Linked DNA regions of Yarrowia lipolytica. The protein of the gene in region 2 interacts with the protein of the main gene of each other region in a pairwise test. Links are inferred from orthologs where the notes say so. Each region holds a gene or a part of one and is shown on either strand. Other genes may lie near its edges.

Region 1 (3,410 bases), on a different chromosome or scaffold from region 2:
TACAAAGCAGATTGAACATAGAAACTGTTCAGTTCACCTGGACGTATGTACTTGTCCATATGCTAGAGTAACAAGGTCATTCATCTTATGTTCTACCGTACTTCAAGGCCTTCCCTCTACTACAAGTAGCTACTACACCTACTTGTAGTCTCCAGGGGCTCCTGGATAGACGGTATGATGTGTATGTGAAGCTGGCCCCTTTCAGAATCCATATTTCTGTCAGATGGTTCATGAGATACCTCTGATACGAGTACAGTAGGTACAGTAGATACAGTACTTGGTACATACTGCACAGGACTCTAGGGTCTTGAGCACTCTCTGTCGGGGGAGGCTTTTGAAGAGAACGCGTCATATATATCCATCTGAATACTCATACTGAAGGAGAATCATGGGTGTTCCTAGACAATCGGAACATCTACAGCAAGTTCTAGACTGCAGATACTCCACCTGTAACCCCTGAGCCCCTGATGTCTATAACGCATGTGCAGGGAGAGCGCGACACGGTAGATTGTTTTACGATATCGTTTTTACTGGCTGAAGCACCCAGTCTTCCACACCTCTGTCGTTAAATTAATTTCACCTATTTACTTACATCCATGCTCAGTGTCATAATACTCTTATCCTCCACAGCCTGTCTAACACGAGCAGCTGTCCTGCTCAGGCTCGTTTGTAATATTCACGTCAATCAGCTCGCTCTGGTCGGTCTTGAGAGCCGTCTCGAGACCGGGCAGCTCGGACGCCACCTTGTTGAGAATCGACTTGACATTGTGGCCAGCCTTGGCCGACGTCTCCAGAAACAGCGCGTCGTACTGCTTGGCCTTTTCCTGTCCCTCCTCGGTCGTCACCTCTCGTGACTCCTCCAGATCGCTCTTGTTTCCAACTAGCATGAGCACCACTTGATTTCCTCGCTCGGCCTTGACGTCCTCAATCCACTTGTCCACGTCCACAAACGACTTGCGCGAGTCGATGGCGTACACAACAATGGCAATGTGACTATCTCGGATGTATGCTGGCACCAGAGATCGGAACCGCTCCTGGCCCGCAGTGTCCCATAACTGCAGCCGGATGGTTCGATCGGGCAGATACATGGGTTTGGACAGAAACTGGATGCCGATGGTTGCCTCGTAGTTCTGGTCAAACTTGTCGTACATGATTCGCGTGATCAGCGACGTTTTTCCCACACTCTGCTCGCCCACAATGACAAGTTTGAACTTTTGGATTTGTCCTGTTTCGGTCATCTTAGTGGTTCTGTGCGACTATCTGGGGCGGTGGAAGCGTGTCTTGTAACGGTGAAACTGTCGGGTGGCAAAAGTCGCGGGTTTGTGTGACTTGTTTCGTGTCTTTGCTTCGCTTTTCGGTAGCTCAAATCGCCGTTCTGTGCTTCACCCTGATATTATCACAACCTGTTAGTCCGTCATGTCCCTCTGGGTGGTGACAACTCACTGCATGTGTGGGGGTTAGGGTTTGTACCGGTTAAGGTTGTGGGTCTTGTGATTAGGGCTGAGGTGTTCTGTGAAACGGGCATGGCCAATTCTGAAGAGTGGAATGGACACCTCCAAATTTCTGCGAGTTGATTCCAGTTTGAATTTTTTCTGTGGCGTCATTACTGCGGAAAACACACTCCGTCTACAAGACTCCTGATCACGTGTGCACCGTTGGCAGACAGATTAGGCTGCTCATACGGACTGTTGGGAGAACGAAACTTGAGCGATATGAAAGGAGACATGAGAGAGACCTACAAGTATCGTACTTGTAGACATAGGCCTGGAAGCGGAAGCGGAAGCGGAAGGTGTGGGCACAATAAATAAGACTTGTTGTGTTTATACAAGCACGCTATATTACGAGTATTATTAGTCCATTGTGGCACCTGTGTGCAAACTATTTCGTACTACGCGTACTACTCGTACACGCACAACGGGAAGGTGTTTACGTGAGAAAAACTTGGGGCATGATATATGGATAATATGGACTGATACAGTAATCTCCCTTGAAGTCATTGGTGACGTGTATTTTTACGAAAGAGCTCCATTGCACGTCGATTTCACTGTACACCTCGGCAACTACAACCGACCCTCGGCTACCCTTGACAGTTGATGTGCCGTTGTAATGTCGTCTAGAGTCGAGATTGCAACAGCCTCCATATCATTTTTTCAGTCTAAACCAGTTTTTATCTGCTCCTCAGTCGTTACTCAGCAGATCTAGACTATCTGTTGGGTGCATGGGTGCAAACCAACCGAACTCTTACTGCCGGCAAGAGACACTTGTTTCATGGAAATTAGACTGAAATGTGTCTGTATTTTGACTATGGAAACGTCTCTATACAATAGATTACTGCAGATGTTTATATCTAGCTCTGTTTATACGTGTGTTGGTCCTCGCTCTCAAACAAGTGCCCTGTCCGGTCCATCTCTTCAGCATATACTACGGCCCAAGTCAAGTTGCAAGTCTAGTAGCACATTCTATTGACGATGCAGTAAATTTACAGTAAAAGACTTGGAATGTGCTCGTCGCTAAACTGTTGGTTCACCCCTACCCCTGGATGTGCCGCCCTCGAGACATGCTTTAGATCTTCGGAACATACAAGGGTACAAATAGTCGTGTTTGTATTCGTACAGGCAGTAATCCAAGGGTTCATCAGTTAGTCTAAGACTACAGTATGTACTTATGAGGTTGTATATTACCCAAGGACCCTGCTGCATCTCCCTGACATGGCGAGAAAGTCCACGTTTTCAACAACTCAACAGGAATGAGGCACTCGTACACCACACATTGGTACGTAAACCTGTGTTACTCTTTTCCAGCAATTCTGTCAATACTGTTTCCTCCACCTAGTGTCAACAAGACCAATGGTCGTACCCTTGTAGCTTTCACGCGCTAATGGTTTAGGTCCACTTGATGAAGAATATATCAACTGCCCAGCGTGTCAGTTGTGTCTTAGTCATGGGTAATACCTGGTCTGTTGGCTCACAATTTATACGGCAATCTCGTAGTTCGATTGCACATCTCTGACCTGTCGTAATCTCCTCGTATTCGTTTATAAATGGGGGCTTTATCCATGCGGATCGTGCATAAGACATGTATTGGGGACACGCGAATTGTTCTGGACTTGGCTAACACTATGTACTCGTAGTTAGGATATAGCGTGTTTCAGACTGTTTTGCAGTAGTCGGGTTCCATATATCCCTTGGTTGGTGAACTGGGTGAGCCGAGGCCCATTGTTTCTGGGGTTGAATGGGGGGGGGGGGGGGGGGGTTCAAAAAATGTAAGAAATTGGAGAAAAGTGCGAGAATACAGAAGTGAGGAGGATAAAAAGGCGAGATATCTGATTCTGCTTAAACAGGAAACATTTCTGCTTCAGGAATTTCATCCTGTCAAATACATTGTAAGGAAGACGGGACTTCCCTGAGGAA
Region 2 (3,993 bases):
AGAAGCACAACAACCAACCACTTCATTGCCATCTCTATCACCACCTCCAGACCCTCCCTCTGAACTGGATCCTGACGAAGACAAGGAGAACAAAGCTCCTCGAAATACAAACACTCAGACGGTTTCCATGGAGGATTTGGCCCAACCTGAACCTATGGCTGAACCTGATGGCGAAGTCGAACCAGAGACAGATCTCCTGGGTTCAGAAGTAGCCCTCTCCTCAGATCCCCTCATCTCGTCAGACTCTTTGGTCCATTCAGAGACTGAAATGGAACTGTTCGAGGTAAGTGTTGATTAGTCCACTGAGTGTCATTCCATAAATACTAACCATGTACACTAATATATACTAACGTTCTTACCGCTTCTGATGTTCTCTCAAAGTGGTTCTAGTCATCTATAAAGAACCCAATCTCACCACACTGGATCTTGCGAGCGCGCCCGCGTCCTGCTTGTCATAACATCATCTAGCTTAACTTATGTTGAGCAGAACTGCACTAGTAACGTACAGCCCTATAAATATCTATATCGTATATCCAATGTGGAACCCGTCTTACAGCTCCATGTCATCGCCAAAGTCGGGCACGTGATCGTCGTCCTCCTGCTTCTTATTCTGCTTGGCCATTCCCGTCAGCTCGTCCTCCTCGTCGTCTTCAAAGTCAACGTCAAAAAAGTCGTCGTCTGAACCCACGATCTGCGCGTAGATCTTCTTGACCTGCTCCACAATGCCGTCATAGGTGATTTCCGTTGGTGCACCTGAGGTCACAATCACAGGACTCTCGTCTCCATCGTTCTTAGCAACATCCTTGATGCTCTCCTCCAGCGGCGGAATCGACGTCTTCTGGTTGTACGACAGCTTGATCAGATACGTCAGCTTCTTCTCGGGTACAAAATCCTTCATGGACTTGCCGAGCTTCACGGACGATAGCACGGGGTCGCCGGACGGCGTGAAAATAACATCCGACTGGTCCACCTGGAACTCAAAGTCCTCGGTCGACTCCCGCAGAATCGATGCCTCCATCTTGGACAGTGCCTCCTCTAGGTCCCGCTGGCCTGTGGCTCCTCCCTGGACAGTGGAGAGGTACCAGATACATTGACCAGGAGGAACCTGGCCAGACTCGGCACCGTAGCAGATGGCCTGCACAGTCTTAGTGTTGCCGGACGACAGAGAGCCCACGGGGAACACGATGATGGCCGCGTCCTCGCCCTCGGCGAACCACTCCTTGCAGTCCATGTTGACAATTACCGTAAGATGGTTGATCTGGTACTCAGGGTTGGACGAAGGGATCTTGGAGCGCACCTGCTCGGTGATCTGGGCCTCGGACACCACCAGCTTCTCGGACCATCGCACCTTGGAGCCATCGTTGAAGATAGCCGTCTTGGAGTCCACGTCGAGCCCGGTGAGGGTTGCGTTGAGCTTGTATACGGCTCCGCCGACAGCGGCTGATCGACAGAATCCCTGCGACAGCTCGGAGGCAGATCCGTACATGGAGTAAACCACGGGAAACGCGCCGTAGGTCTCGAGGGAGACCAGGTACCGCTTGATACGGTGGAGGGCGACGGGGGTGGCGACATCGTTGGAAGAACACAGGCCAATGGACTGGACCAGCTCATCGATTTGGGTCTGTTCCAGCTGGAACTCCTTGGTCATGAACTCGACAACGGGCTTGTCTCGGTAGGGTCCCCAGACGTTGTAGAGACGTTCCCACTCGACGGTGAACTTGATGAACTTCATGAGCTGACGCTTAACGACGGGCGACATTTGCTGGGACGTGAAGATGTCCTGTTTGGACGCCGGCACCTTTTCGAAGCTGTCGTTTTCGTACGTGTGGAAGTTGGTGAGTGACCGGAACTCCAGATACTTGTAGACCCGGCTCTTGAGCAGCAGTTGCAGCATGTCCGACTTGGCAAACAGCACCCGTGGGGTCAGGTCCACAAAGTACTTTTTGGAGTCCAGGGGTCGGGGCTGGTACAACTTGGCGTTGGAGAAGACGGCGGACTCGTAATTGACCTCGTCCACCCATCTAGGGAGCTCATCGAGATTGAGTACTGCCGACGAGTCACCGTAGATGGAGTTGCGGTCCAGATGAGCCACGTTGGAGCCCTGCCATGCGAGGGCGGCCGCAAGAATTGACTCGACGATGCCCGTGCCACAGATGAGCACGTCGCAAGAGTCTACAAACGCGGGGTCCTCTGCCAGTGGCGGCACAATTGATCCTCGTTTGGATACCGATGATGCTGAGAAAGAAGACATGTGGTGTGAGAGGGGGTTGAGGGGATGTGTGGGAGAGGTGTCTGCGTTATCGAGAGAGGAGGTTTGTGGCGTGTACAGTACTTGTACTGGGACTTGGTTGGCTTCACAGGTGTAGTTGGTGTGCGGGCGCGTTGCTTTTGCGGATGCTGCGGATGTTGCGGATGTTGCGGATGTTGCGGATGTTGCGGATGTTGTTCTGGATGTGTATCTTGTTCCGCTTGTGTCGCTTGTGTGTTTGTGTCGCTTCGTTTCCTTCTGAGGTCCACCTGGCAATAGTACAAACAGATGTCGTGCACTCTTCCAGCGCTCTGGTTCAAAGATGCAGGTGTAGACTTGGAATATGGGGTATGTGCTGCGTATAGAGTTTTAGGAGGCTTGGACAGGGTGCACTAAAGTACGTGCCGAGGGGTCTCTTGGAGGGGATGTGGGGTCATGTGACGTGTCGGGACCCCCGGCAGGGGATAAATTGGCCTTTGGGGGGTTTTATACGGGCCCTAATCGCCTTTCCGACGCCCATCACGTGCCCAATGTCTGTCTCCACCATTTTCTACAGAGAAAAATTTTCACAACTTACTCTTAGTTGAACATAAATTATTGGCCCTTCTCTCCCAGATAGGCTAAATAAGGTGTTGAATTGGGTGTCATGGGAATCGGGTATAGCACGTGTTGCGGGCGGGATTTGGGCGTTGCATTGTCTCAGGGAGCTTGTGGGGGGTTGATTGACTCAAAGTCTGGGTTTTTTCCGCCTCAAATCCCCCCATAAACCCCCATTAAAGCGCTCCCTCGTCTTGTCAGTATCTGCCGTGCCAATCTTAGCTTTCGTCCAGTGCATGACTTATGTGAGCGTGGCGACATTACGAGCTGTGTGTGGATGACAGCTGGAGTGGCGTACGAGTTACGAGGGGAGCGTAGTGACACAGACCGATCTGAACAGTATAAGCAGAGGTCCATTTTCTCTTGCCAGTTCAATTGACCGCCACCTACTGAAACCGTGTTCGCTTCATCTCAACGGTCGTCCTTGTTCTGTTAACAAAGCCCAACAATACAAAGGACAGCCGAGAGATGGGGCCAGGTCATGTGATGATAATCTGCGGGTGGGTTTGCCACCGGGTACGAGCAAGTACAGGTTCGAACCGGACCGATACTGCTGAGTGTGAGTATTGTTTGGTCCATCGACATTGTTTTGACGTGTCATCGTGACTGCACTATGACGTGTGTCGTGTGACAGATTCACGCCTCCCTCGATAACTGCACTATTGTCGACCATTGCTCTCATCTCCAACCTGCCTCTTGCGGCTATTAAATTGCGGGTATATAGTCGGTCCCAACCAACCGACGCAACGTCTCATCTCCAACTTCCCGAAACGGAACTCTGTGAGCCAGCTGCGTTGGTCCTGCCCAACTGGTCTGATGGCGATGATGAGACAAGTGAGCAACTCCGCATTGGGATATTCCGACAGTGTGCTGTGCTTGTATTTGCTGCCAAAGCACCAAAGCACGAGCAATTGCTCCTGTTAGCGTAACCGACTATGAGTATTACTTGGAACGTCAACTAACTTGACTACTTGTCAAGTACGTACAAACTGGTCCGAATGACAGGACAGCAACCAAACCATTCAACACTAGACATAGTATGTACGGTACGAGCACGAGTAACGGTGCTCCTGCCTGTACGCCCACGTACTTGTACCTCGGTCAACGGTAAAACTACCGGCAATTCTCATACGATTGACCGTCTGTAA

What was found. The genes of interacting proteins can lie anywhere in the genome.
Region 1: the proteins of YALI1_F09177g (region 2) and YALI1_B28830g interact in a protein complementation assay, tested with the Saccharomyces cerevisiae proteins (3 studies listed by BioGRID, with this or other methods). The link is inferred for Yarrowia lipolytica from reciprocal best matches to the Saccharomyces cerevisiae genes MRS6 and YPT6.

Annotation. Positions count from the first base shown.
Region 1 is NC_090771.1:2,881,075-2,884,484, reverse strand, and holds YALI1_B28830g (uncharacterized protein), read right to left. Parts: upstream 1,449-3,410; coding exon 1,444-1,448; intron 1,381-1,443; coding exon 1,297-1,380; intron 1,249-1,296; coding exon 636-1,248; downstream 1-635. UniProt on the Saccharomyces cerevisiae protein: Protein transport. Might participate in post-Golgi transport.
Region 2 is NC_090775.1:916,027-920,019, reverse strand, and holds YALI1_F09177g (uncharacterized protein), read right to left. Parts: upstream 2,252-3,993; coding exon 551-2,251; downstream 1-550. Other genes in the region: YALI1_F09211g (uncharacterized protein), read left to right, coding at 1-298; YALI1_F09161g (uncharacterized protein), read right to left, coding at 3,551-3,778, 3,828-3,881. UniProt on the Saccharomyces cerevisiae protein: Substrate-binding subunit (component A) of the Rab geranylgeranyltransferase (GGTase) complex. Binds unprenylated Rab proteins and presents the substrate peptide to the catalytic component B.